Diceros bicornis minor: one gene and its partners. The main gene of each other region encodes a partner of the protein of the gene in region 3 in a complex. Links are inferred from orthologs where the notes say so. Each region holds a gene or a part of one and is shown on either strand. Other genes may lie near its edges.

The links.
Region 1: SNRPD1 (region 3) and DHX16 share a complex: the UniProt entries of both Homo sapiens proteins name them as parts of the minor spliceosome. The link is inferred for Diceros bicornis minor from reciprocal best matches to the Homo sapiens genes SNRPD1 and DHX16.
Region 2: SNRPD1 (region 3) and LSM5 share a complex: the UniProt entries of both Homo sapiens proteins name them as parts of the U4/U6-U5 tri-snRNP complex. The link is inferred for Diceros bicornis minor from reciprocal best matches to the Homo sapiens genes SNRPD1 and LSM5.
Region 4: SNRPD1 (region 3) and PRPF8 share a complex: the UniProt entries of both Homo sapiens proteins name them as parts of the U4/U6-U5 tri-snRNP complex. The link is inferred for Diceros bicornis minor from reciprocal best matches to the Homo sapiens genes SNRPD1 and PRPF8.

Annotation. Positions count from the first base shown.
Region 1 is NC_080753.1:34,433,336-34,441,005, forward strand, and holds the start of DHX16 (pre-mRNA-splicing factor ATP-dependent RNA helicase DHX16), read left to right. Parts: upstream 1-4,658; 5' UTR 4,659-4,834; coding exon 4,835-5,041; intron 5,042-6,242; coding exon 6,243-6,490; intron 6,491-6,581; coding exon 6,582-6,744; intron 6,745-7,060; coding exon 7,061-7,117; intron 7,118-7,670. Other genes in the region: PPP1R18 (phostensin), read left to right, coding at 1-159, 1,067-1,086. UniProt on the Homo sapiens protein: Required for pre-mRNA splicing as a component of the spliceosome. Contributes to pre-mRNA splicing after spliceosome formation and prior to the first transesterification reaction.
Region 2 is NC_080742.1:56,561,658-56,568,955, reverse strand, and holds the start of LSM5 (U6 snRNA-associated Sm-like protein LSm5), read left to right. Parts: upstream 1-4,291; 5' UTR 4,292-4,353; coding exon 4,354-4,399; intron 4,400-6,150; coding exon 6,151-6,246; intron 6,247-6,786; coding exon 6,787-6,814; intron 6,815-7,298. UniProt on the Homo sapiens protein: Plays a role in pre-mRNA splicing as component of the U4/U6-U5 tri-snRNP complex that is involved in spliceosome assembly, and as component of the precatalytic spliceosome (spliceosome B complex).
Region 3 is NC_080755.1:13,552,482-13,560,262, reverse strand, and holds the start of SNRPD1 (small nuclear ribonucleoprotein Sm D1), read left to right. Parts: upstream 1-4,764; 5' UTR 4,765-4,859; coding exon 4,860-4,873; intron 4,874-7,781. UniProt on the Homo sapiens protein: Plays a role in pre-mRNA splicing as a core component of the spliceosomal U1, U2, U4 and U5 small nuclear ribonucleoproteins (snRNPs), the building blocks of the spliceosome.
Region 4 is NC_080757.1:16,065,453-16,072,430, reverse strand, and holds the start of PRPF8 (pre-mRNA-processing-splicing factor 8), read right to left. Parts: upstream 3,007-6,978; 5' UTR 2,956-3,006; intron 2,765-2,955; 5' UTR 2,754-2,764; coding exon 2,654-2,753; intron 2,177-2,653; coding exon 2,008-2,176; intron 1,004-2,007; coding exon 839-1,003; intron 750-838; coding exon 531-749; intron 399-530; coding exon 186-398; intron 60-185; coding exon 1-59. UniProt on the Homo sapiens protein: Plays a role in pre-mRNA splicing as core component of precatalytic, catalytic and postcatalytic spliceosomal complexes, both of the predominant U2-type spliceosome and the minor U12-type spliceosome.

The DNA of each region.
Region 1 (7,670 bases), on a different chromosome or scaffold from region 3:
CCGAGAGTTCGGTGCTGGAGGAGCTGGGCCCGGAGCCTGAGGCCCCCAGTGCCGCCAGCCCCCCAGCGGCCCAACCCGACGACGAAGAGGATGAGGAAGAGCTGCTCCTGCTGCAGCCTGAGCTCCAGGGCGGGCTGCGCACCAAGGCCCTGATAGTGGGTGAGCACAGGCTCTGCCGGCCCGAGGGCGCCCCCTGGTGCTCAGAGCAGGCACTGCGGCCCAGGAGGGAAGCGGGGAACTTGAGTTGGCGCTTGGAGGGGGCTTGGTAGGACATCCAGCCCAAGCCACTCCTTTAACAGATGGGGAAACTGAGGTCCTGGGAAGCGAAGTGCACGTGGGGTCTCCAGATTTCAAAACCAAGATTCTTTCTGAGCGCTCTAGTGTGGTTAAAAACACAGGGTTTGGTTCCGACAGGCCTGAGTTTGAATTCCATCTTGTTTCTTACTTGTGGTGTGACTTCAGGGAAATTACGTGACCTCAGGCCTCAGTTTATCCTTTATGAAATAGGGTTAATAATAACTACCTCCTAGAGTTGTTGAGAGGGTTAAGTAATGTTTGTGAAGCACCTAGGAACTATGGCTGGACATCAAGTTACTTAACCTCGCCTGAGGTGAGATTAAACGAGTTATAAGAATGCCTGGGGCCAGCCCGTGGTGTAGCGGTTAAGTGCGTGCGCTCCGCTGCTGGCGGCCCAGTTTCGGATCCCTGGCTTAAACCGATAGACCGCTTGTCAGGCCGTGCTGTGGCAGCGTCCCATATAAAGTGGAGGAAGATAGGCACAGATGTTAGCCCAGGGCCAGTCTTCCGCAGCAAAAAAAGAGGAGGATTGGCATGGATGTTAGCTCAGGGCTAGTCTTCCTCACCAAAAAAAAAAAAAAAAGCCTGGCACAGAATTCGAGCTAAATGAATGATGGCTGCTGTTGCTGGTAGTAACAAGCACTCAAGATGTGGAAGATGTTATAAGATTTCCCATATGCCAACTGGCCTTCAGTGTGAGGAGAGGGTGGGGAAGGTGGGGAGCAGAGGCCTCACTCATTCTCTGTCATTATTGCCTCCTCTCCCACAGATGAGTCCTGCCGGAGGTGACCGTCTTCCAACACAGAGATATACCTCGCTCCTTCCCAGAACTGAAGATCCTGGAGCCCAGAAGATTCAGAGCAGACAGACCCTGAAAATGAGCCTGGCAGGGAAGGGCAACCAACATCTTCCACTTCGCTTTCCTCATCCTGTTTCTGGGGGCAGAGCCAATCGCCCAATTTCCACCCTCACCCCAGGTCCCTGGTGTGAGTGCGTCAGGCGTGTGGGTGTATCCTAGGTGATCCAAGAGTGAGCACCAATTCCCAGGGAGGAGCACAGAGCTCCCTGGGGAATGGAGATGGAGCACCCTCTCCATCTCCATGGGCAGGGTATACTCGCCCTACAACCTTCCTTGTCTCCCCACCACCCCCTGAGGTTCTCAGGATTTCAGCACTCATCTCCCTGAGACGCCTGGCCCCCACTCCATTTCCAGTCACCTCTCATCCTGTTCCTTAGGTCACTGCCCCTTTGTTTACAGCTCTTGCCTCCTCTCTTGACTGCAGCCTGGATTACAAACCCCACCAGCTCCCCGCCCCACCTGCCAAAGTCCCAGGTTTACAAGCCACGCCTACTTGCCGTGTCTATGTGGAATCCTCTCCCCTGTCCCCTGCTGTTGCCTCACTGGGAGTGACCTTGGGGTGTGGCTTCCTCCATTTTTGCTCAGTATTACTGTGCCTCAGATTTCCCCAAGAGGGAAGGCTGGGGATCTTAACTCCATTCTCCCATCTAGTTATTTAATTCTGTTTCTCCTAGTGGTTCTCAATTGAATTGAATTGCAAGGATGTGGGGTGACTAACGAGGCACCTCAACTCTCCTCCCTCATTTCTCCTTCCTTATCAATTGCCTGTGTTTTTTTTTTTTTTTTTAATTGTCCCTAATAAAATGGAGCTCTCTCTGACTTTCCCATTGCTTCTCCTTCTTTAGGAAAAAAAAGTGCATGCGGGGGAAACTCTGTGTTCCTCGTTCCAAGCCTCTCCCATCTTCCTGTTGGCCATGAGAGGGAAGTGGCGATGGGCGGTGGGAGGGGAAAATGATGAGGATGAACCAAGAACTCAGAGCTGACATGTAGAAAGGGCTCTGGGAGAGCCCTGCACTGGTTTCTCGAAGGACTAGCAGGAGAAGGACTGGTTTGAGGAAGGGCAGGTTGTAGCCACCAGACTGGAAGTGCCATGAGGGCAGACCATGTTGGTTGAGTTTACTGCAGCATCACCACGCCTGGCACCTAATAGACACACAAAATTACTTCTAGAATGAATGACTGAACAAATAAATGAAGAAAAGAGCTAAAAAACTGGAAGCAGAGGACACTCTAAATTGAAAGATACCGGGCCAGCCCGGTGGCTTAGCGGTTAAGTGCACGCGCTCCGCTGCTTGCGGCCCGGGTTCGGATCCCGGGCGTGCACCGATGCACTGCTTCTCCGGCCATGCTGAGGCCGCGTCCCACATACAGCAACTAGAAGGATGTGCAGCTATGACATACAACTATCTACTGGGGCTTTGGGGGAAAAAATAAATAAATAAAATCTTTAAAAAAAAAAATAAATTGAAAGATACCAGTATTCAGAAGCCTATAGCAATGCCAGCAGCCAGCTAGTGTGTGATAGTAGCTAATTCAGAGGCATTTACTCCAAGACCCGAGACCATAAATAATTAATCTGAAATTGCTGCAAAATATAGTATGTTTAGAAGTGCAGTTTCCTGAAAAGGGGTCTCTGATAGACAATGAGTTTTATATTCCCAAAGGTTTAAGAACTATCAATAATTCATGCCTTTGTTACCCAAGTATAGTTGATGTTGGGAGATTTTCTCATTTCAAAGAATTTCTATCTTCTACAAATGTAGAAGACCTATGTTTTATTTATCAGGTCATTTTTTTAGTTCTGCAGGCTAGTAAAGGCATGGTTGACTAGTCCTAGTCCTTCTACCACTACAGGATGCTCCTCAGCCTAGTCAGAGGGGACTCCCCTTTACCAAAAACAAAATGTGTTAGACAAATTGATCTTAAATATATGCTGAAGGTCCTTAATTTACTAGCAAGAGAACAAGCAAGCTGTCAAAAGAATGAGCCAGTTCAGGGGCCGGCCTGGTGGCGCAGCGGTTAAGTGCGCGCAGTCTGCTTTGGCGGCCCAGGGTTCACAGGTTCGGATCCCGGGCGCGCACCAACGCACCGCTTGTCAAGCTGTGACGGCTTCCCATATAAAGTAGAGGAAGATGGGCATGGATGTTAGCCCAGGGCCAATCTTCCTCTGCAAAAAAGAGGAGGACTGGTATCAGATGTTAGCTCAGGGCTGATCTTCCTCACCAAAAAAAAAAAAAAAAAAGAATGAACCAGTTCACAGAAGCAGTTCACAGAAGCTGTGGGTGTGGAGGGAAACAATGCTTATATCAGTAGCTAATTAGGTAAAGATCCTAAACAGTTGTGACCCAGGAAAGAGGAGGCAGGGAGCTCTGAGATGCCAGGGGTGCCCACAGTCCATCTGAGAAATAAAACAATGCATCCAAGAAGTCAATGAAGTCAGTGATATGGAGCTACCTGTGGCTGCTCATTGGAATAACAACGATTCATTTCCCAACAGGTGTCTGCTAAGTCCAATTAATCATAAAAAAAAGTATGAAGCAGGGTAAAAAGAAGTCAGATAGTAGAGAGTCAAGTAACAAGTTCTGCTTGTTTTTAAATAAGCAGCCACCAGTGAATTTCTCAAGCTGTTAGCGAAAATGCAGAACATACTACGGGGCCAGGCTGGTGCCACAGTGGTTAAGTTCGTGCGCTCCGCTTGGGTGGCCTGGGGTTCGCTGGTTCGGATCCTGGGCACAGACCCACTCACTGCTCATCAAGCCATGCTGAGGCGGTGTCCCACATAGAGCAACTAGAAGGATGTAAGACCATGACATACAACTATCACTGGGGCTTTGGGGAGAAAAAAGGAAAAAAAGGATGAAGACTGGAAACAGATGTTAGCTCAGGGCCAATCTTCCTCAAAAAAAGAAGCAGAACAGAGATTGCATTTTCCTGAGTCGGAGAGCTTTTAAAATGACTTTCTGACACAGCACCAAGAAAAGTGGGCACCTTTGTTTTTCCCCCAGATCCCAACTTCCTGGCCTGGAGGTCCTCGCTTATGCCTAACCTGTATTCAACCCTGCTGCAGGCACCAGTCCAAAGGTCACTCCTAATCAGCATGGGCTAATCTTTAATAAGCGGGACCTGATCTTCTGATTTGAAATGGAATCCCCCCCAACACACATACATCTTGCCTTATTTTTGGCTCCATAGAACTTACATGTTTTATTTATTATGTATCTTGCCTCCTTCCCACCCCGCGCAATGTAAACTCGGTGAGGGACTTTTGTCTGATTTGTTCTTTGCTATATCCCTAGCGACAAAAATTGCCTAGCACACCTTAGGCTCTCAGCATTAGTTGAATGAATCAGTGAAACACCCCCGAACTGACCATCAGGGGGCGACAGAGATTCGGTAGGGGCGGAGAGGACATTGTTTTCCCCCGAGCTTCAGATAACGATTCTGCGAGGTTTGAACTCGCTCGGCCACCGTAGTGCTCAGGCCGGAAAAGCGCGGCCGCTTCCGGCCTCCGCGGTCCGAGAAGACGGCTTTGAGGTGTCGGAAACCGAATCCCAAGGTCCTAAGGCGGCTCCCTTGAGGAGCTGAGGCTCCAGCCCCGGGCTCCAGGCCTCAGCCCGGCCTGGCCGCCAGGGCGGCTGCTGGAGACACTTCAGAGCAGAGAACAGAGCGTGGGTCGCCATGGCGACGCCGGCGGGGCTGGAGCGCTGGGTGCAGGACGAGCTGCACTCGGTGCTGGGACTGAGCGAGCGGCACGTGGCCCAGTTCCTGATCGGAACCGCGCAGCGCTGCGCCTCGGCCGAGGAGTTCGTGCAGCGCCTGCGGGACACTGATACCCTGGACCTCAGCGGGCCGGCCCGGGACTTCGCCCTCAAACTCTGGAACAAGGTGTCGAGAGGGGTGGGGCGCGGCTGGGGCGGGGCCGGCGTGGGAACCGCGAGAGAGGGGGTGGAGCAGGGACGGGGCCCAGGTTACTTATCCAGGTGAGGCTGGGCTAACTGCATCGGGGAATTAAGCTCAGTTTACAGGCATTCATCCGTTGTCCGTTGTCGTCTAGGTAGTGTGCTGGGTGCTGGACGTCCAGCTTAGGGGAGGAGAACGAGGAGGGCTAAGTGTGCTGGGTTAAGTGCTATAGAGCAGTGTTTCTCGAACTTTAACATGCATAGGATTTCTCCAGGGCCTTTGTTAAAATGCAGATTCCGATTTGGTAGGTCTGGGATGGGATCTTAGTTTCTGCATGTCTAACAAGTTTCCAGGTGATGACGGCCCATGGACCACCTTGGTGAATAGCGAGGCCGTAGAAGGGATGTGTGGGAGGTGCTGTGGGAGGGCAGAAGAGGTGGGGGTAGTGAGCAGGAAAAGCAGGCCCAAAGACTCCCTGGAGCTTGTCAAGTAGAGAAGGAGGAATGAGTAAAAGTATAAAAGGCGAGCTCCTGGAGGACAGGAGTGTGTATTTCTCGTCTTTGTATTCCTGCCACCTAACAGAGTACCTTTCAGAGCAGGTGCTCAGGAAGTATATAGGAAGAGTGGAAGTGTTCAGCATGTTCAGAGAATGGCAAATAGCCTGGATGGGACCTGGTTGTCCCATATGGTGCTTGTCAAGGGAGATTAGGTTAGAATGTAAGTGATATGAGAGTAGGGACTTTATGTTAATTTGTTTACCAGGGTATCCCTGGAGTCTGAGACAGTGCCAGGCCTGTGACAGCCTTCTGCAAAAGTAGCATGTCAGTCCTTGTGTAGGCATGACTTAATCATTGGGAATAGCAGAGGCTGAGCAATTGAGAATTGGGTTTGAGAATGTAAAATCCACAAGGGCAGGGATGCTTGTCTCTTTTGTTTATTCCTGTATCCCTAGTACCTAACAAGTACCTGGTGCATGGGACAGGCTTCAATAAACGTTTGTTAAATGAATGACTGAAAGGACGTTCGGAAACTGAGAGGCTCTGACGAACATGGCGTGAAGCCATGGGGAAGAGAAAGAATGAAGGCTGATTTAAGATCAAGTCAATCCTTACATTAAAAACAGGGTAAAGTAGGTGGTCAGAGATCAGGAGTTGCTCACATCCCTCATCTCCTCCTCTCCTGACAGGTGCCACGGAAGGCAGTCGTAGAAAAGCCAGCTCGGGCAGCAGAGCGAGAGGCCCGAGCCCTGCTGGAGAAGAACCGATCTTATAAGTTGCTGGAAGAGAGTGAGGAGAGCAGTGAGGAGACCATGGGCAGGGCTGGGAGCAGTCCCCAGAAGAAGCGTAAAAAACGGAAACACCTCAGGAAGAAACGTCAGGAGGAAGAGGAAGACGAAGAGGAGGAATTTTCTGAGAAAGGAAAGAGAAAGACAGGGTAAGTCAGAAATAGGATGAGAGATGGGGCAGGTGGATGATGGGATATGCCTTCTGGATGCCCTTATTTAATCCTCTGGGCTGGGCTGCAGGGAGAGTACACAGCAAATGGAGAAGCCAGAGTCGGAGGATGAGTGGGAGCGGACAGAGCGAGAACGCCTTCAGGACTTGGAGGAACGGGATGCCTTCGCGGAGCGGGTTCGGCAGCGGGACAAGGATCGGACTCGTAATGTCCTGGAGCGGTCAGACAAGAAGGTCTGCATGTTCTCTAAATCCCAGGAAAATCTCTGGGTCAAAACTGAGGTTGAGTATGATTGCAGATAGTGATCTCTGGGAACACAAGGGGCTGCCTCTAGTGGTAAGTTCATCTCTATGAGGAGAAGACCCCTCTGGGTCTGCTGGCTAAGGTGAGTCTCTGCTGAACCTGTAGCCATAGAGCTTCCTCGTGGAGAAGGGACATTTCTTTGTGTTAGGGAACATCTGAATGATCCTTGTGATTCTGGAGGGGGAATGGCTGTGGGCCTGGGGGCTTTTGGCGTCACACCCCTCCACTCTTGGTTTCTTCTCCTAGGCTTATGAAGAGGCTCAGAAGCGCCTCAAGATGGCTGAGGAAGACCGGAAAGCCATGGTGAGTCCCAGTACCTAGGAAGCCAAGAGCAGAAGACAAAAGGAAAAACTTTCTGATGGAGAAGTTAGGGGTAGGGACAAAGGATACAGAAGATGCGGTGGAGATGCTGATGGGGTGTCAGGTCTCTGGAGGATGGGGCTTGGTTGACAGAAGCCTGCTGAGGATGGATTTAAGTTGTAGAGAGAAGGAGGTTACCCATAAACCCTCCTTGACTCCATAGGATTAAATCACACTGTATGTTAGTGAGGGAAATGTGAGCTTTCTCTGTTCCTGAGACTTAACAAGATGTAATCAAAAGGCAGCTGGAACGTCAAGGGGTTGGCTGGAGGGCAGGAGCAAGGCAGCTGTTCCACTGCCCAGGGATGTGCTGACCATTCAGCTTGGCACACCATCTCCAAATACCTCCCTACCACCTAATCCCTCCATCCCCTCTGTGGCCTTGTGATCTTCCTCTGGTTTCCTAAGTTGGTCTTCTCCTGGACAGGGTCAGAGCCCTGGTAATTCATGAACTGGACTTGTTATGGTGTGAGTCTTGGTAGGGTAGGCAGTTTTC
Region 2 (7,298 bases), on a different chromosome or scaffold from region 3:
AGGTGCCCGCTTTAAACAGAATTCGAGATTACTACAATACTTGGCTGTGAAGTTTACCATCGCTAGTTGCACATCCCTTAGTTTAGACAACCTTAGCAGTTATTATCCTGGCCTTGAAATTTAAGGACCTGCATTCTAATCTAAGTAGAGCTGAGAAAAACAATAGGCTTCCTGTAATCAAGGTTGGTTTCTATGATTCAGTAGAATTGTTTTAGTGCCAATAAAAATACTGTAGAAATTTTTCAAGATGTTGTTACAATTTCTTTTTTATATTACAAAATTCTTGGCATTGGCTCAGAACTGTGTGTGAAACTATATTATTCCCTGTATGCGTAATATGTTACTGTTTTCTTCCATCTGCCTTGATATTTTCCACAATTGGCATAGCTAAAATTAAAGTCTAACTGAACATCTTTTAAAAAATATGTAAGGGCAGAGCATCTTAGAATTCTATATCTACAGTGAACACCAACTGCTTAATTCATTGTGCAGGAGACCCAGTAATAGATTTATAAAAATCTGTGTCACTTTGCATCCTAGAGCTTCCAACAAAGATTAAATCATTTATTCATAACTATTATGTTGCTTAAATGTTTAAAAAAATTACTTAAAATAAATGCTATAAACAAAGAGGATATGTTACTGGGAAAATTGGGCAAGAAAGTAAGCAAGGGAATTTCCAGAATTTTTTCCATCTCTAAATATACAGACTGGTCCATTTAAGAGTTTAGAATAACAACTGTTACAGTAGTTTTTAATAAGTTGTATTATTATAGAATAAATTCATTAACAAGATATTGTCTATAAAGACAAATATCTATTGAGAAAAAAATAGATATTTCTCCTTTATTTTAAAAAGTGTCAGAAGGAGATTATCAAGATTGGAAATAACAATTTGACATAACAGAATACTTTCTGAATGTTATTTTGAAAGGAAACTTTTGTTTGTATTTTTATGATGACATTTGTCTCCAGGGAAAAAATTAGAAACACTTTTCTGAACATATAATACACTGAAGAGTCTTTTCTAGTTACATGTATTTTATGATGACTTGTAAATCCTATTTTATGTCTGCTCTATAAGAGCTAAAGGGAGAAAAACCCTGGAGACAGAGCTATGACATGTTTTCAAGTTCATTAAAAATGAACTTTCCATCTAGAATCGGCCCATTGTTTCTTTTTTCGTCTTGCCTCAGGAAAGAACATGGTAAAATAAAACCACTCCCTTCCTGCAATCCCCATTAACTTTACTGGGTAAATGAACTATTATCTCCTTTTTCAGAGTATAAAGAGACTTACTTTATTCTTCATCAATAGTATTGAAAATTGCTAATGTTCATTTTTTTCTTGTAATGGAAAATTTAAAGTACTGACTTTCTTAAAAGCATGTTTTTCTGAATTTTAAACTCTTATCAAGTAGCAACAATGCCTTGAATTTGGTCCCTACCCTCATTATGGTATGGTGAAAATAAAATAAGAATAGAGATAGAAAAGAAAAACGAGGAAAAGAAAAGGACTTTACAAAAAAATTTGGCATTACTTTGTCTTTAGAATCTTATGAAGATTAAGGGGGATGTTGATGGGTATGAATGAAATAGAATCAATTTAAAGAACATTCATTAGACCCTACAGTACACCTGGAACTGTGGTAGGCAGAGAGAAGAAAGAAAGAGGGGGGAGAGAGAGAGAGAAGGGGGGGAGAGAAAGCGGGGGGAGAGAGAGAGAAAGAAAAGAAAGTAAGAAAGAAAGGAAAGAAAGAAAAGCAAAGAAAGAAAGGGAAAGAGAAAGAAAGAAAGGGAAAGGGAAAGAAAGAAAGGGAAAGAGAAAGAAAGAAAGGGAAAGAGAAAGGGAAGGAAAGAAAGGGAAAGAGAAAGAAAGGCAGAGGGAAAGAAAGAAAGAAAAAGAAAGGGAAAGGGAAAGAAAGAAAGGGAAAGGGAAAGAAAGAAAGGGAAAGGGAAAGAAAGAAAGGGAAAGGGAAAGAAAGAAAGAGAAAGAGAAAGGAAGGAAGGGAAAGAGAAAGGAAGGAAGGGAAAGAGAAAGGAAGGAAGAAAGAAAAAAAGAGAGAGAGAGAAAGAAAGAAAGAGAAAGAAAGAAAGAAATTGCTGTCTTAAAGTGGCTTATGTCTGGTTATAAAAATAAGATAAACATGAAACCACCAGCTAGCAATGCTAGCCTTTGTAGCACCTACTCTAAGCCAACCATCATGTTGAGTATTAGGAAACATGGATAAATAAGCAATAACAGCTCACGTTTAATGAATAAGCACTATGTGCTAGTCCTCTGCTAACCACTTTTCATGGATTATCTCATTTAATCTTCACAACAATCCTATCAGTAGATACTATTATCCTATGGGTAAACTGAGAATTAGGAAGGTTAAATAACTTGCCCAAGGTCAAATAACTAGAAGGCATTGTGGTGGAGATGAGATTTGAACCAAAGTGATTTAACTTCAGAACCAATGGATTTAATCACTATATTGCTTCCCAAAATTCTTGACTTTCAGGAATTCACAGTCTTTTTGGGGAAGAGGTAACCCTGTAGATACATAATTATAAGAGAATACATTGAGAGCATTCTGAGAGCTGTTAACATCCTTGCTGGATAATGAGAGAGCCCACCAGGTCTGCAAGTCAGAGAAGCTTCACAAAGATGGTCACATTTGAGCAGGGTCTTGAAGGATGAGCAGGATTTATTAGAACTGGGGGCCAGAGCATCCTAAGTGTAATAAAGTAAAATCATTAAGGACTGGGGTTATTAAGGGAAAACATTTGGGAAGGGAAGGGTTTTACGCCAAACTTACCGAAAGTATGTAAGATTTAAATTGAAGTGCAAGAGATGTTCGGAGGTGGGCACATGCCAATTGCACACAGTATTCCCTTTACTTGGAATGCTGCTCCTGCCCCTTTTCTGCCTATCCAATTTTATTCATCCTCCAAGACTAGATTCCTGTCAATTCCTTTGTAAAGCTTCCCAAGCTATCTATGTGGCCAGTGGGCAAATTATTTAACCTCTGAGTATGAGGAACTTCATCCTAACATCTGTCTCAAAGGATAGTCATAAAGATTAGGAATAAATGTATCTGTCAGTTTCTTGGCATATAATAGGCGCTCAATATTTAAATATGCAAAAAAGCCAGGATTGGCTTGGTATTTAGAAGGAGGCTGAGCTCTAGGGTGCTTTGAACTGAAAGGCCCTTCTGTAAGAGCTTCTGAACCTCCTCACTGATGTTTCCCTTAAATCATACCTACGTGTCTAGTATTCTTGAAGCTAAAAAAGGTCTTTTTGCTTTATATATTAAATTTCATGTACCTTGTACATAATGTTTGTTGTCTTTCTCTCCCACTCATCCTTAAGCTCCTTAAAGGGCAGAAGACCTTGTAGTTTTGTTCTGTACACTGTTTTATACTGAGCAAAATGCCAGACAAATAGTGTGCAACTAATATATAGTTGTTTGCTGAATGAATGATGGGTGCTTTAAAAACATTTGTTGTATGAATGATGTTCTTTCTGGCCTTCGCTGTTCACAGTCTTTAGCTTTAAGTTCCTAGGATACAAATAGAAAATAGACTAAGGCAGAGAATTTGTTTGCTTTCTATTCTTTTCAAAACAAAAGTGCAAAAGTATTAAGGTTTCTTAAGTGTGATGACATTAACATACAGTGACATCTGGTGGTTGCCTGTTAGACAATGTTTGTTGAAGAAATACGGAATACGAAGTCTGTAAGAAACTAAGACTCCTAGATATAACAAGACAAGAACGATGAATTAAAGTAGTAAAAAATAAAGAGAAAACATATTTTAAATCTCTACCCTAGAAAAGTTTTAAAAAATGCCGGTTATGCGTTTTCAATCCACTGGACTTTTAAAAGAAAAGGTAGATTCTTGAAGATTGAACGGTTTTTACGAAAATTGCAACACAGTGAGTTGGTGGCAGGAAAAACAAATTGATTCATACGCGTCTGAAGAAAGATCCTGGCTTGGGTTAAGACGCAACTTTATAGAGGAAAATAAGACGACTCAAAAGTTTCCGTATTTTGCAAAGTCTTCCGGGTTAGAGGAAGAATTTATTCACAAGGCAGAACATCTTTAACGGTCTCCCGAAAATTTCTAAGGGAGAGTGAGTGAGTAGCCGCAGACACAGCAGAATACTCAGTGGATAAGAAATATTTCGCGATCTCACTGCCCCGGAAAGAAGCAACTGGGCGCGATCCACGCGGACTGGACCGATCGCACGCTCGGCCGCAGATTGGTCGAGCCTGCCCGGGCTGCGTGGGGGAGGAAAAAGAGGAAGCGTGCTTTTTCAAACTCGCCGACCCAACGTCGATGGACGCAGGCCACTTCCGGCGTAGCCATGGCTGCTAACGCTACCACTAACCCGTCGCAGCTGCTGCCTCTAGGTAATAGTTGCCCTGTGGGGCGCGCGGGCGGGGAGCTGAAGCTTAGGGTTGGGGGCCCAGGGGCTGCGGGGGAGGCTGCCCGTGTGAGAGCGTTAGGAAAATGTATCGGACCAACTGCTTTCCTTCTCCGCGGCTCGTCTCTGGTTTTAAGTCTTTGCGCCCTCAGGCCGCCCACGTCTCCTCAGCGTGGTAGGATTCCTTGAGGCAGGGACTTGTGACTCCCCAAACCAAACCGCCACTGGAAAAGGTTCACACTTGGTGAATGCGTCGCCAGCCGCCTCCGTTGTGAGCTCACCTCTATAGTCATGGGATTCAGTCCCGTTCCTCAACCTGGCATGTAAGCTCCCCAGATTGCACCCTGTCCTGTAGCTGGCCAGTTACTGCGAGAAGCACCGGGGTCTGGAATGAGCCTTAAAAGAGGAATCTGGGGGCAAGCCCGGTGGCGGTGGCTTAGTGGTTAAGTTCACACGCGGCGCTTTGGCGGCCTGAGCGTCTCCGGGTTGGAATCCCAGGCGTGGACCCACGCACTGCTCATCAAGCCATGCTGTGGCTGCGTGCCACATACAAAATAGAGGAAGATGAGCACAGATGTTAGCTCAGAGTCAATCTTCCTCAGCAAAAGGAGGAGGATTGGCAAGGGATCTTAGCTCAGGGCCAGTCTTCCTCACCAAAAAAAAAAAAAAAAAAAGAATCTGGAACTAGCTCTATTTGTCATTCATTCATTCAGCAAACAGTTATTGAGCATCTATGCACCAGACAATGTGGCCCGGCACAAGTCCACAAAATTTGTGTGTGTGTGTGTGTGAGAGAGAGAGAGAGAGGAAGATTAGCCCTGAGCTAACATCGGATGCCAATCCTTCTCTTTTTTTGCTAAGGAGGATTGGCCCTGGGCTGACATCCCTCTGCATCTTCCTCTATTTTATGTGGGACTCCGCCACAGCGTGACTTGACAAGCGCTGCATCCTCTGTGCCAGGGATCCAAACCCGCGAACACAGCCGCGTCTCCCCCCCCCCCCCCCCCCCCCCCCCCCCCGCTCGCCTCCTGCAGCCAGAAGGGAGCACGCAAACTTAACCATTAGGCCACTGGGTAGGCCCCGCTATTCAACAAATTTAAATCACGGCCATTGCCTGCGAATAGCACACAAACCAATGGAGGAGCTAGGATGCTGAACAAATAAACATCATACCAAATAACGCTAAGCCCGGTAAAGAGATGTTCGAGCTGCTATCAGAGTACAGAGGATAGACTTCTTAGGGTGAGGGAGGTAGTGACAAGAAGGAATCTCTGGTGAAGACAGTTATGCCTGTCTCTTCCTACGATTTTGTAGCTGAAGAGTGATTTAGTTAGTGGATGTGGCCGTGATTGAAAAGTTTTTTCCTTCATTCGACAAACTTTGAATCCCCAGCATATGCCAGGCACTGTCCATTGAGGGTAGAATGATCTGCCCTCATGGGGCTAAGAGTCTAGAGGGGTTCATATGTTAATCAAATAATCTAAAATAATATAAAACCACAGCCATGATAAATTGCTACAAAAGGGAAGTGGAGAACAGGGAGAGCTTTTTTGTTAATGTAGAGGTATATAGTATAAGATCTAAAGTTTTTGAATGAATTCTTTTCCTGGTTTGTATTTCACCATATACAAGTAATAAGTTCTGGTAGGCACTCAGATATTTGTGGAAGTAATGCATTGGTAAAATAATCTTTTTCCTCTCCCTCCCTTTTTTTTCTTTAAAAAAATATATCCATAGAACTTGTGGACAAGTGTATAGGATCAAGAATTCACATTGTGATGAAGAGTGATAAGGAAATTGTTGGCACGCTTCTAGGATTTGATGACTTTGTCAGTATCCTTTTAAAAGGTGGTGGTGGTATGGGTTTTTCTTCAGTATTTAAGAACAAAAGAACTATAGACAGTATTTACTGATTATTATAATAAAAATTAATTTGGGGCCTGCCGGTGGCATAGTGGTTAAGGTCATGCGCTCTGCTTTGGCAGCCCGGGTTCCAGGGTTCGGATCCCAGGTGCTGCCTGACGCACCGCTTGTCAAGCGATGCTTTGGCGGTGTCACATATAAAGTAGAGGAAGATGGGCACGGATGTTAGCCCAGGGCCAGTCTTCCTCAGCAAAAAGAGGGCAATTGGCAATGGATATTAGCTCAGGGCTCATCTTCCTCACCCACACCCACAAAAAAATTAATTCTCAGGGACGTTGTGATAGTGTTTTAAAAGTTGTTTGTGCTGGAAGAAGATTACCTACCTACCTACCAATCACAAGCATTTTGAATTTGAGTCATTGTGTTAGACGTTATAAGTAAAACTGAACAGAGGTAGAAGCCAGAGTAAATTCAACCTGGTATATTTATTTTCTTAACACAGAATTTCAGATATGGTACTGGAAGATGTCACTGAGTTGTGAGTAATGTTAAAAATTAAAGAATGGGGAGGGAGGATCTCTCAGTTTTTAATTTAAGGCAGTTTTAGTACTGTTGAGTCAGTAAAATGATATATGCGAAAACATTGCCTGTTGAAATTACCTTAAAATAGAAATTTTATCCACTGACGCTAGTGATTGGATCGGAAGGTTATTACCTCAATGTAATTATTACTAAATTGGTAGGAAATTAGTGGAGACAAAACTTTAAGGTTAAAGATACTTAAAAACAGCCAGGAATCTTAGGGCTCAGGTCACATCAAGGAACTGATAATAAGAACATTTAATGCTTTTGATTAAATTAATTGCTCTGTAATTTATATATAATATAAAATGTAAATGATGGCTAAATTATATTGATTATAATCGACCATTATTTCCGCTTTCAGAATTGAATTGAATACAGATTGGTTTAATGGGTAGGAATCAGTAGTAAGTAATAGTAACAAGAGTGAGGATAGTAAA
Region 3 (7,781 bases):
GATGATACTATTGAAATACTTTGTGCTGCAGTTAATCCATTTCAACTATCCAAAGGCTACAGAAAACAAGGTTCACAGCACTTCTCAAATCTCAACGATTTAACTCCTTCCTCCTTCCCTGCTGCGCCCTCCTCTCTCGGAAAACACCGTACCTGCTCGGTTTTCAGAACTTAACATTGAGGGGTGGGGGAGGGGAAGGTTGGGGGTGTGGGGGTGGGAGAGTTCTCTAATTTTTGGACTTGCTATCCCATTCTGCCTGAGTAAAACAAACCCCTGTAGTAAAAGAACCTTATGAATAGTGATGAAAATCGAGGACCAATTTCCTTCTGCTCGCTTCTCTCTATCTCTATAAACTTCACTACGGCCCTCAATACACCCATTTCTACGCCAGAGCAGCCCTACCTGTGCCCAGACGCCCCCTGCCCAACTCGAACTGCTCTATGAGCTTGGAGCCGGGCCACTGCTCCCCTCCCAGGCTAAAGACTGAGGAACCAAGATGCCCATCTCCCGCCGCGCAGACTGCAGAGGCCTGAGGGTTCAGGCCGGGTCAGCGAGGGGCGGCGGGGGCAGGGGAGCAAGCCGCAGGGACGGCAGCTCCGCGCCGGCTGGTGGGGCTGGCTCCGGGGAGACGCCGGGAGAGAGGGACGCCGGGGGCGGGGACAAGGCCCGGGCTACCTGCGGGCCGCCGCCCTCACCGCCCCAGTAGTCGCAACGGCTGCAAGCGACCGCCGCGCTCTGTGAACCCTCGCGGCCGCCTAGGGAGCCCCGGCCTGCGCCTGTCCGCGGTCACGGCCCCTTCACTACCTCTGACCGCCCGGCAAGTAGCAGCAGGTGATGCGACGACTGGGCAGCCGAGACGCGCAGGCTGGTCGCCTCCCACCCCTCCCAGGGGCGCCAGGAGCCCGGACCAAAGAAGTGGGAAGAGGCGTGCGAGACAACGCGACACAGAAGGGGGACAGGGAGGGGGAGAACCCTCCGGCTCTCCGGAGGGGCTGGAGAAAGGGAGGCGAGGACGCAGGCGGCGCGACAGCACGCGGTGGGGACGGTCGGGACGCTCGCGTACCTTCCTCACTCCCGGCTGAGGGTCCAACGCGAGCCAGCAGATCGCCTCACATCCGGGTATCAAGAGACACTCAGCCGCTTCTGCCGCGACCGCCGCCTCTCCCGCGGCGCAGAAACGCCGAACTTCCGGCGACGACGGCGACGCCTCGCCGGTCAGATGGGAGTTACCTGCGACCGTCTTGGGCGCGCTTGCGCAACGTTCCTCTTCAGCCCTAACCGGCTCAGCTGACGTACCCAGAAGACGAAGATGGCCGCCACGCTCGCTGCGTGTCACTCCGTTTTTCACCCCGGCCGGGACGGCTGGGCGTCGGGGAACAGGGAGCCTGCGTCCATCCTCGGCGCAGGCGCGGTGGGAGGCCTCGCGTGCGCTCACCGCGGGTGGGCTGCTCGCGGGGAAGCGGCGGCGCCCCCTGGCGGCGGCCTCTTGCTCTTCCCGCGGTCGTCTCATGGAATAATAACACCCACGCCCCCAGCGGTGGTGGTTTGTCGTGGAAATTCGTCGCCCCCGCTTCTTCTGTTGGTTGCGGGTACTGCTCTTCTGCGACCTCTAGGTTACATACCTTTAATCTTCGACATGGACCAATGTAACGAAAAAAGGAGATAACTGACCCTCTCTCTCCTTCCGCGGCACTGCACTCCCTCGCTTCCAAAAAATGCAGGACTTCACCGTCTCCGTGCACACTTTCCTCCTTGTGCACCAAAGCACAAGCGTCGACAAGAACTTGTATAATGTTCCACTAGATTTAGTCATGGCCGGTATTCAGATAAAGCTTTGGCTCTTCGAAGCCTCTAAAGATAGAATCCAGCGTTCTGTCACTAGGATCGTGGTTGCCACACTGCTTTTGAACGCTTTCTGTGCTACTCCTTCCTTTTTTGCAGATATATGAGGATGGATAAACGCTACTCTTGCCTTTGAGAATCTAAAGAGAGGTGATCATAGGTAGGTTCTTCCCTTCCTGACCTCTTTTTTTGAAGCCAGGTACAACCAAAATGTGCTCTGAGAAGCCTGATGTTTTTCTGACATTTTCCACAAAACTTTATTGAACTGCTTGTTACTTTAGTCTGGGGAGATTCCATGGTTTAAAAAACAAAATAGGTGAGGCCATTACCCACATCACCGTAGGTTGTGTTGCTTAGCAAAAGCCTGTCTACTGCCTCCCCCACCTCTAGTTCCTAATATAGGTATATTCTTTTTTTTTTTTTTTTTTTTCTGTGAGGAAGATCAGCCCTGAGCTAACATCCATGCTAATCCTGCTCTTTTTGCTGAGGAAGACCAGCTCTGAGCTAACATCTATTGCCAATCCTCCTCCTTTTTTTTTTTCCCTCCAAAGCCCCAGTAGAGAGTTGTATGTCATAGTTGCACATCCTTCTAGTTGCTGTATGTGGGATGCGGCCTCAGCATGGCGGGAGAAGCGGTCCGTCCGTACACTCCCGGGATCCCAACCCAGGCTGCCAGTAGCGGAGCGCGTGTACTTAACAGCTAAGCCACGCGGTATATTATATATATATAAGCCCTATAGGTATATTCTTTAATGACATATGCCAAATGTCTTAAATTGGGAAAAAAGTCAGGAGTAGACTGCTGACCTGATTGAAGCTGGTTATCTACCAGAGCATCGGACTTATATCTTCTTTCACCTTTAGATTGTCAGACAACTGGTGTAATTTCTTTCCATGTGTAAACCACTTTATCTTCAGTAACTTAAATTCTGGCATACACACACACAAACCATATTTACAAGTTTCCATTCCCACAAAATAGGCCTCTGCTTCTGAGTGATCTGTTCCCCTATATTTGTTTTGTGGCCACGATCCAGAGCATAGCAATCCTTACAAGTCTCACACCATATTAAATATATATAATAAATATAAAATATATATAAAACATAAATATAATTATTTATTTAATTTTAATTTAAATTGGCACATTTAGGCATTGTTTTTAATCCAGGGGCTCATTAATATCATCATGAGTTTTTTTTTTTTTAAAAGTCTCTCCTAAGACTGGTTTTTCTCTTGGTTCTAGGTGAGTTCCCAAACTGCAGAGGCTACTACCTCTCCATTCACATCCAAAAGGGAAGAGTATTCCCTGCGAAGGTCTGATTGGATCAGCTTACATCCCAAGCCCACTGTGGACAAGTAGTGGAATGTAATGAGTGACAGTTAAGGGTAGAGTCAGCTTCCTTAGGACCACATGGATCACCAGGACACTATTAGGAACTGTTGGGAAGAGAAGAGGATACATATTGAGAAGACAACGCACAAATGTCAATTACAGTCTTGCTACCCAAATTGTGGTCCATGGACTCGGGGCATCTTCATCAACTAAAGTCTTGTTAGAAATGCAGAATTTCGGACCCCACACCAACTGAATCAGAATTTTCATTCTAAAGTTTCCTCCAGGTGATTCCTATGCATATTAAAATATGATGAGCATTGCCTTACAATACCCAAGACTTCTGATGATCAGAGGTGAAGTCCAGGCTGGAGATACAAATTAAAGCTGTGGTTTTGGAGATCACCTAGGCTAAAGACCAAAGTATCCATAAGGAGACTACACCCAGGGAAAGCCCCAAAGCACTCCAACATGTGATGGCTCAGTAGAGGATGAGGCAGCTAAGGAGACCTAGAAAGAGTAGCTAGTAGGATAAGAATAAAACCAGGTGTGCTTGGCGTCCTGGAAGCCAAGAGAGGAGGGTGTTCAAAAGGGGAGTGTTTGTGTTGAATGCTTCTGAGATATTGAGTAAGATGAAGATAGATGTTTGTCTTGGAGGTTTTGATAACTATTAGACAAGCAATTTCAGTGTAGTTTGAAGACTGAATTGGAGATGATAAAATAAGTGTAGACAGCTCATTCAAGAACTTTTTCTGTGATCGAAGTCTGGCAGTAGCTGGAGCTGCAGCAAAGGAGAACTTTGTTTTGTTTCTAAGATAAATTTGTTTGCTGATGGAAAAAATTCAGTAGAGAAGGAGAAATTGATGATTCAAGTTAGAAGGGGATAACTGAAGGAGTAAAATTCTTGAGAAAATGAGAGATGGGATCCAGGCTATAATGAAAAAGAATTTACCTTTGAAAGAAGCAACAATGCTTCCACCCTTGCGATAGGAAAGAAAGCAGAAGGATGGCTTCTGTTTTCTTAAAAAAGTATGAAACATTAGCAGAGAGTGATTTGGGAGATGGCCTGTAAAAGGTTTCAGAAGGAGGAAAGAAAGAAGATATGAACTAATTTGTGAGATTATTATAGAAGCATAACACAGTCTCTGAGTAGTACCTCTTTGAGGTTTGTGGTCAGAATTTAAGGTAAAAATAATCAGCTAAATCGTGTGATTTTCTTCAGGTACATTAAGTAATGCTGAGGTTCCCGGTGTTGGAGCAGAATTAGCATAATCCTTTGGGCTTCTCTCAGAATTTCCCTTCGTTCAGGGATATATTTAGTGCTGCATAACACATGGCGCCCTGTAGTGGCGAAGTGCGACGGCGACAGGCCTACTAATTGGATTTAATCTCCTCAAATCTCCCTCTTGCGGGAAATTTCCTTTTAGACTAGTCCTAACGCCCTCAGCAGTCGCAAGGTACACCTCCAGCCGCCAGAGTGCGCTGTGGCGACCCTCGCGCCGGAAGTGAGTGCGGCCCAGCCGGCCTCGGCGTTTCCGCCGTGCGTAAGCAGTGCTCAGCGCGCTCTTTGCGTCGGAGCCCCGGCAGTAGGCGTTTCCGGCCATTCATACTCCCAGTCCGTTGGCGCTTGGTTGTGGCCTTGCGTGCACTCTCGGATCGAAAGGGCGACGGCGCCGCTAGCATGAAGCTTGTGAGGTGAGGAGGTGACCAAGCGGGATGGGAGCTGTGAACGGACGGTTTGGGCCGGGAGCCGGGCTGCCCCAGTTCCGGGAGGCGCGAAAGCCGCGTGCGCGCGCGGCCTGCTGACGGCCTCCGGCGCCCGCCGCTCCCGCCCCATCTAGGCCGCGGGCGCTCGCGCGTGGGTTTCGGACTGAATCGCGCGGGGATCCCGCGTGTCTTCCAAGAAGTAGACGTAAGGCCGAGACGTTTCTTCTCACCTAGTGTCTTAGAGGCCTTGAAGGTGCAGCGCCAGGCTTACAAACTCGTAGTTTCGGTTCCTTACCGATTTTTATATCGAGTACAACTCGTGTTCTAGTCTAGGTTACTTTTCTGGCTCCTTTCAGCTCCCAGAACCGGCAAATATAGCTATGTCCACGCTCCCTGAGAACGTGGGAGACAAAGAAAAGGAAAATTATATGCTCCTGCGAAAGTAGTTTAAGTTGATCCGCTTTTCGTGATGAAACTTACGTCGCCCTTAAAAAGAGTACTTAGAAGTTGCGGGAGTTTATCTGGAAATACCGAAACCCATTTCCGAAATGTTTTAAAATCGGGGTTGGACTTCTGACTTCATAAGTTGGTCTTTTTCCAGCTTTATTGAGATATACTGGAATTTTTTTCAGAAGGTAGAGCCCCTGCCTTGTTGGAACTTTATGTTTTGTGATGAAGACAGACAAGTAGATAGTTTCTAGTATGTTTGAAATAACATATAAAACCGTCAATATTTTATTCAGGGTGGACTTTGTAGAGAAGGCATTTAAGGTTAATTTTTAGTCCATTTTTGTTTGAGCTAGAACTTTTGGAGAAAAAGTCTCAGAATTTAAAGTACATTTTCTCGATACCTGCCAGTTTGAATGTGTTTATAGTTTCATATATTTATAATTTGATATATTTTGAATCATGCAGTATGCCTGCTTTTTGTGTAAAATTTCTTTTACTCAGCATATTTTTTTTGAGATTCGTCCACATTGTGACGTGTATCGCTAATTTATTCCTTTTTATTAGTGAATAGTAGTCCATTGTGCATTTAAGAGTTACGTATGTTGTGTAAAACTGTTTTGAACATTCTTGTGTAAGTTTTGTGTTTTTTTCCTTCATTTCTCTTGGGTAAATACTTAGGAGTGGAGTTGCTGGATCACAGCATAGGTAATCGTTTAGTTTCATGAGAAACTACCAGACCATTTTCCAAGGCGGTACCATTTTACACTCCCGCCAGCAGTGTATTAGAATTCCACTTGCTCCACATCGTCACCAGCATTTGTTGTCATCAATCTGTTTAGCCATTTTAGTCCTTGTATAGTGGTGTCTCATGGTGTTAATTAACAGTTTTCTAATGATTAATGATATTGAGCACTTTTTCACCTGCTTATTGGCCATTTGTATGTCTTTGTGAAGTGTCTTGTTTTGTGTTGTTTCTTTTTATTGTTGAGTTGTAGGAATTCTTTATGTATCCTCTGTCAGATATAATTTCTCTCAGTTTGTGGTTTGTTTGCTCATTTCCTTAGTAGGTAATGTCTTTTGGTGAGCAAAAGTTTATTTTGAGGAAGTCTTGATTTACCAGCTTTTGGTTTTATGGTTCTTACTCTCTATGTACTGCCAAAGAAACCTTTGCCTACTCTCAAACCGTGAAGATTTCTCCTGTTTTTCTCTAAAAGCTTTATAATTTTAACTTTTATGTTTAGGTGTGATCCATCTTGAGTTAATTTTGGTAAGTGGTGTGAGTTAGAGGTCCAGGTTCATTTTTTCTATATGAATTTTTAATTATTCCATGTTGTTATGGATTTCATCATTTGTTGAACAGGCTTTCCTTTGCCTGTTGGACTGCTTTGGCACTTTTGTAGAAAATCAACTAAATAAATGTAGATTTATTTCCGGACTCTATTTTGTTTCGTTGATCTATTTGTTGTTCCTGTGTCTTGGTTACTATAACTTTAACCTATATACTACTCTAGCCATCTAATTTGTCTTCCTAGAGATTGTCCTAGAGATAGAAGGTTGGTAACAATTAGTATTGATAAGGATTTGCATAATGGATTTGTAATAGCAAAATATATATATGTGGCCATGGAAATATCTTCAGTATAAACTGCTAAATGAGAGTACAAGTCATAGAAGTCGTTAAAGTATGGTCCAATTTATGTAAAAACAAAGTTTATGCATATGCTTATAAACGCATGTAAAAATGTAGTAGAAGAATAGCCCTGCATACAAAGAGGGAGTTAAAAAGGGAGACTTTTACTTTTCTGTATTTAGACATGTACAATAAGTGTGTAATCTTTTACTACCAATTATAATTTCCTGATTTCAATTTTGTGGCTTATAATAACTTTAAGATCTGTATGTCTGGATTGAAGGTTAAGCTATATAATGGTTTTTGTTAGTGCCATCAAGTCAATCCCGACTCCTAGTGACCCTGTATATACAGTGAAGTGGAACCCTGTTCCATCTTGTTACGCCATCCTCTCACCTTCCGGCGCTATATCGGGCAATGCTCCACTGCTATTGGTAGGGTTTTCATGGCCACTTTTTGGAAAGTGGGTGGCCGGGTCTTTCTTCCTAGTCAGTCTTAGTCTGGAAGCTACACTGAAACCTGTCCACCACGAGTGACCCTACTGATACTTGAAATACTTGTAGCGTAGCTTTCAGCATCACAGCAGCACGCAGGCGCCACAGTATGACAACTGACTGACAGATGGTGTAGTTCTCCAGCCAGCAAACAAACCCAGGCCATGGCAGTGAGAGCACTGAATCTTAAACGCTAGACTACCAGTATAATGGTTTAGAGAATCAGAAATATCCAAATGGCAGTTTCTCTTATTATTATGCTCCTTCATAAATGTTGAGGGTATAATTCAGGGAAAGCTGAAATTGTTATGCAGATTATTAA
Region 4 (6,978 bases), on a different chromosome or scaffold from region 3:
GGATAGGCTGCCGGATGATGATCTTGTTAATATCATTAAACTCATTCCAGTCTTCATCCCTACGGTACAAAATCAAGGATGAGCAGACTAGTTGGAGAGTTTGGAAGCTACAAGGAGATCTTAAGGATCAAGAGTAGATTTTATTCAACCCAAGGTGCCTAAAATCCCTATTCTCTCCAACTTACTGTAGGTTGATATCTCGAACAAGAGGTTCAAATTTGGGGCCTCCAGGAATGGCCATATTGAGTGCTTTAGAGGTAAAAAACGCCTTCAGGTCAAACAGATAGAAGTAGTTGTCATCCACCAAGTCTGTAAGGAGCTGATTGGCCAGGCGGTAGAGAGTGGACATCATGGGCAGCGTGAACTGCCAGCGCTGGTAAGTGGAGCCATTCACATACCTAGGAAAAAAAAGAAGAGCCCGCATCAGGGAGGTATACCAGCTAGCCAAGCCACACTACCCGTTGTTCTCCCAGAACTCCTTGTGGATTTCCAAAACTCCCACAGGAGTGTTAACTCCAACTGTCACTCACTTCCGGCTGTCCCTCAGTGGCTGGTGGTCATAGAACCAGTCCAACACAGGGGCATCCTCCTCAGGGTCCAACTCTAGCTGAATGGCCTCCAAAGGCTCAACATCTAGGATGTTGTCGGCATAGTCCAAAGGCGGCTCTTCATCATCAAAAGGGGGGAAACGCATCCTCTTGAAATGCCTCCTGTCTCTTTTTTCTCGACGCATCATGATCCACATTGACCTGGAAGCCAACAATGTCACACAATGGTTTCTACCCACTGCCCCACAACCACCACCACCACACATGGTTATATTCCAGCACTATCTCACCCCCACTGAGAGATGTAGACAGGCTCAATGACCCAGGGAATCTCATTGACAAAGGAAATGGCTCCAGTAATGTGGTACAGCACAGGCACATCTCGAATCTGTTCCCAAGGCATAGGCATGTTCTCCAGGAGCTTGAGGACTGCATGGGGCATGTACTTTAGGGCACTGCAACGTTAGGAAGAGAGATGATTAGAAATGACAAAGTGTTAGCTGTTACCTGTGCCGTGCACAGAAGCCACACGGTACCATAGTATCACATTCCACGGAAAACCCTGCCTCAAAGTCCAAACTCCCAAACATAGACAGGCCCGCCATGATCGGCAACTCTGCCTCTCCCTCTCCAATTATGTCACTCTTCTTCTTAAACTTCACAGTCCCAAAATACTGGGTTTCAGTCCCTCTAAATCAACAGCTGTCCCTCTAAAGACAGCTTTTAGGCTGTCACACATTCTATTCTCTCTGTACCGTCCCATAAATAATAATACAATATTTACCATACTTTATTGTAACCATTTGTCTCATATCTGTCATGCCACTAGACCGTAAGCTCCAAAAAGGCCATTACTTCCTGTTCACTGCTATATCCCTAGCACCTAGCACAGTTCTCAAAAAACATATATATACACTTTTTTTTTCTTTTTTTTTGAAATAAACAAAACTTCCATGTCTGTCTTAGACCAGCTCATTAAGTGGCTAACATTTTTGTGTCCAAACAGAAAAGGGATTTGCTAAGGCATTTGTACCTATACTCAATCAGCTTGGGGACAGAGAAAAACAAGATTATAGACACCTCAGGAGTTAAACATCCGGAACCTCAGAATTCTGGTCACTGAGGAGTTACAGGCAACAAGAATGTACAAAGTGTCCTGCTCTGGGCTCCAATCCATTCAAAAATAGGAACATCTTACCATAGCACCAACAGGACAAATTAAGCTCCAGTCCCAGACCAAGAAGAAAAATTAGGGCAATAAAGAATATAACTGGAAGATCTGGAAATTATCACAGAATTCTAGTGGTTTTCCCTCTTCTCTTATAACCACCAAGATGGGCTGTCACAGAAGATGCCTGTCCCAAAATGACAGAGCAGCTATCCAGGACTGTGACCTATGAGATAGGGAGAAGGGAAAGGGGCCAAGCTCCAAATGAAATAATTCCAGGATGCTCCTTACCCCAAGTAGACCCTTTTGTCATGGCGAAACTTCCTGTTGGTCATGTCTCCATGGTCTCGAATGATCTTCCTGACATGCTCTGGGGGCATGTCTTCCTTCTGAGCATCCACAAATCCGAACTTCCGCTTTTCTGCATAGCGCTTGGCTTGCAATTGCTGCCATTTGCGGGCTACAAAGACACCTCAGTTTAAAGGACTGCACACCCTTGGCCTAATCATTCCCACCTCTTGCCCTAGGGTAAGCTCCTGTCTGGATGAGGGAGAGCTGTGCGTACAGCTGGAGTGCTCCCTGCCAATTCTCGTCATTTCACTCCGCTTTATTTTTTCCTTCATCACATTTATCACTGCCTGACGTTTTTGTTACAGATTTTTTTTTTTAAGTTTTTATTGTCTATTTCCCTCACTGCAATTTAAACCTTATCAGGGCAGGAGTTTGTCTTCATCACTATTGTATCCCCATTGGTTGGATCAGTGCCTGCAAATAACAGACGCTTTTAAAGACTTGATCAGACGAAAAAATAAATGGGGCTAATAAGGGAACTGACACCTAACGTTTTGACACTTGCCAAAACGGGGAAAGGGTTCAAACCCGCTGCGCGCACGCGCACACCCGCCCCCAAGTAGCCAGGCCTGCACGCGTTCTTCACCTTTCTCCTGCAGCTTCTCCTCCGACATGTAGTCTGGCAGCGGGGCTAGAGGGCCGGGCACCGGGTTACCCGGCCCTCGGTATGGAAATACTCCGGCCATGCCCGGAGAATCTGGGGGGCGGCGGAAGGGAAAAATTAACAAGCCACAAGGCCCGGGCCTACAAGAGGCGCAGCAGGAACACGTCGAGAACCCCGGCCTGCAGTCCCGCCTCGCTCAGAGTGCGTACTGCCCAATCCCTCGGGCCACTCAGCCCGATCCAACCACGCCCCCCGCAGCCCGGCCCTTGAAGCCCCTCACGCACCCCCAAAGCCCCTCACACCGTCGGCCGATTTCCCCGCAGCGCAATGGCGGCAAGCCTACGTCCGCTCTGCGTTCCCAACACCGGGAAGTGCGCAACCGGAGTTCAGTAGTGGATCCAATAGACGTCGAAGAGCTCAGATGGATTACAGAGCTCACCAATTAGAGTTGCATTTCGGGCTGAAGGGGGCGGGTCCATAGGCGGAAAGATTTGAACGCGAAGGGGTGTGGTCGGAGGAGCCGTAAGCTCCGCCTCCCGCGTTTCAGGGGCTGTCTCCGGTCTCTAGGCGACCTCGCACTGTTATCCGTGACTGGCGTCGGACAGTCAAAGACCCAGGCTTCCAGATTTTTAATAAATTTGTCAAAATTTGCACATTATTCTGTGTCTAGTCTCATAAATGCAGACTTGGGGTACAATAGTAGCTCTGAGTCAATCAGTCCTTTGTTCATGCATTCATTCATTCGTTCATTCAACCATCATTTATTGAGCGTCCGCTATGTATCAGAGATTGGGAATACAGCAGGGAAAAAGCCAACATTACGGAGCTCACAGGGTAGCGGGAAGGCAGGCAAAAACCCAGGTTCCTACAGTGCCGCGTGAACTCCCTGTACAGGAGTTCAGGGGCAGAGCATTTTAATCCTGCCTGCGAAGTCAAGGAAGAGTTAGTCAATGAACCTAGAAAAATAAAAGAGGCCTTGGGGAACAACATTGCTGGGTGTCTTTTTCCTCTCCTCCGTTCCTCTTTTCTCTCTCTGGCAATGATTACACTATGGAGTGTATAGTAGACACCCTATAAATGCTTCTTGACTCCCTCAGGCTCTGCCTGTCTTACTGCCTGAATTGCTCTCCATCTCCTGCCATCCTTGTTTTCTCTCTTGCTCTATCCTTTGGTAACAACTTTGAATCTAGTTTAAGGATAAATTTTTTTGAATTCACACCAAGTTTATTGTGGAAGGTGCAGAGGAAATGAAACCCATATAGCCTCTCAGTTTAGTTGGGAATTCAGGATTCATAGGTGAAATAACTAGAGGAAAATGCAAAGGAGAGTCCAGGCAAGTGCTGGCTGGTATGGAGGCTTCTACAGTTCAAAGGAGGGAGAGGAGCATTATTAAAGATTTGATGATGCGTCTTTTTCTCTTCAGATGGAATAAATCTTTTGCCTTTTAAAGATTTGATGGAGGGCCGGCCCTGTGGCTTAGCGGTTAATTGCGTGTGCTCCGCTACTGGTGGCCCCGGGTTCGGATCCCAGACGCGCACCCGACGCACCACTTCTCCGGCCATGCTGAGGCCACATACAGCCACTAGAAAGATGTGCAACTATGACATACAACTATCTACTGGGGCTTTGGGGAAAAAAAAGGAGCAGGATTGGCAACAGATGTTAGCTCAGAGCTGGTCTTCCTCAGCAAAAAGAAGAGGATTAGCATGGATGTTAGCTCAGGGCTGATATTCCTCACAAAAAAAAAAAAAAGATTTGGTGGAGATGCGTGGATGTGAAGGATTTGATGGGATAAGGAAAGAGTAAGGAAAAAAGAATCCCAGGTGGTGGAAACTGCTACAGTTAGAGTTTAGAAAGAGAAACGAACATGGCATGCTCTAAAACAGCAGCCGATCAATCTGGCTACAGTAGAAAGTCCAGCATCATCATTATTATGTACATTATCATCATTATGTTCATCATCGTCATTGTAGTGAAGTCCTTACCACCTGCGTAAGCTTCACTATGTGCCAGATATTGTTATAAACTCTGGTAAAATCTTAATATTCTCTATAGCTTCCTTAATAGTATTGTACCAATGTCATTTTTCTGGTTTTTATTGTCCTACTATTGTCATGTAAGAAATTCTTGGGCCAGCCCCTGGCTTAGCGGTTGAGTGCATGCACTCTGCTACTGGCAGCCCAGGTTCGGATCCCAGGCGCGCACCGACGCTCGCTTGTCTGGCCATGCTGAGGCAGCGTCCCACATACAGCAACTAGAAGGATGTGCAACTATGACATACAACTATCTGCCGGAGCTTTGGGGAGAAAAAGGGAAGAAAAAAAAAGGAGGAGGATTGGCAATAGATGTTAGCTGAGGGCCGGTCTTCCTCAGCAAAAGGAGAAGGATTGGCATGGATGAGCTCAGGGCTGATCTTCCTCACAAAAAAAAAAAAAAAGAAAAGAAATTCTTAAGTGGGTGAAGAGTATACAGGAAATCTCTTTACTATTTTCTAAACAACATTATTGAGATATAATTTGCATTTCATAAAGTTCACCTGTTTAAAGTATACAATCCAATGATTTTTAGTATATTTATAGAGTCATGCAATTATCATCATTATCTAGTTCCACATTCTCATCATCCCGAAAAGAAAATTTGTACCCGTTAACACTCACTCCCCGTTTCCTCCCACCTCCTACTCCTCAGTCCTAGGCAACCACTAATCTACTTTCTGTCTCTATAGATTTGCCTGATCTGGACGTTTCATATAAATGGTATCATAGAATAGTGGTCTTTTGTGACTGGCTTCTTTTACTTAGCATAATGATTTTGAGATTCATCCTTGTTGTAATAAAATACTACATATATATTATCTATATATATACGTACATATCTTCCTTGGAGAAATATGTTTTCAAGTCCTTTGCCCATTTTAACATTGGGTTGTCTTTTCATTGTTGAGTTGTAGGAGTTCTTTATATAGTCTAGATACAAGTTCCCTGTCATATATATGATATGCAAAATTTTTCTCCCATTCTTTGAGTTATCTTTTCACTTTCTTTATGGTGTTCTTTGAAGCACAAAAGTTTTTAATTAAACCCAACTTATCAAATCTTCTCTTCTATTGCTTAAGATTTGGTATCAAATCTTAGAAATCATTGCCTAACCCAAGTCACAAAGATATGCTCCTACATTTTCCTCTAAGAGTTATTTTTTTGTTTTTTGTTGTTGTTGTTGTATGTTTGTGATAGTTGTATGTCATAGTTGCACATCCTTCTAGTTGCTGTACGTGGGACGCAGCTTCAGCATGGCCAGACAAGCGAGCGTCAGTGTGCGCCTGGGATCCAAACCTGGGCCACCAGCAGCAGAGCGCTCGCACTTAACTGCTAAGCCACTGGGCCGGCGCTCCTCTAAGAGTTTTATAGTTTTGGCTCTTACATGTAGGTCTATGATTCATATTGATTTAATTTCTATGTATGGTGTGAAATAGGGGTCCAAATTAATTCTTCTGCATGTGGATATCCAGTTGTCCCAGCACCGTTTGTTTAAAAGACTATTCTTTCCCCTTTGAATGGTCTTGGACACTTTGTCAAAAATAAACTGACCATTTATTTGTTTCTGGACTCTCAACTCTATCCCAATGATCTATATGTTTATTTTTATGCTCTGTGCTATTTTTGCAACTTCCACATGAGCCTAAAATTGTTTCAAAATGAAGAGTTAATAAATAAATAAGCTAATTTAATCCTCAAAACAGCTTTACAAGATAGGTGTTATTATTATCCCCATTTTACTGATGAGACACTCAGCCTCAGAAAGGTTGAGTCATCTGCCTTGGGTCACATGATTAATTACACAAACTATGTGTCAGGTTCTGTCTAACAACTTTAAAGATTTTATTTATTTATTTTTTCCCCCCAAAGCCCCAGTAGATAGTTGTATGTCATAGCTGCACATCCTTCTAGTTGCTGTATGTGGGACACGGCCTCAGCATGGCCGGAGAAGCGGTGTGTTGGTGCACACCCGGGATCTGAACCCGGGCCGCCAGCAGCGGAGCGCGCACACTTAACTGCTAAGCCAGGGGGCCGGCCCTCTAACAACTTTATATTCATTAGTTCATTTAACTGTCACAATAATCCAATGAGGTAGGTGCTATTATTAGCCTTATTTTATAGACAAAGAAACTGAAGTGCAGAGGAGCTGACCCATTTGCTCAAGTTCCTACAGACAGTAAATAATGGAGACAGTAAATAATGCGTCTCGAGCTCAGATTCTTAATCATATAGCCATATCATCTTCTATGCTCATGCTAAGAAGCATAGATG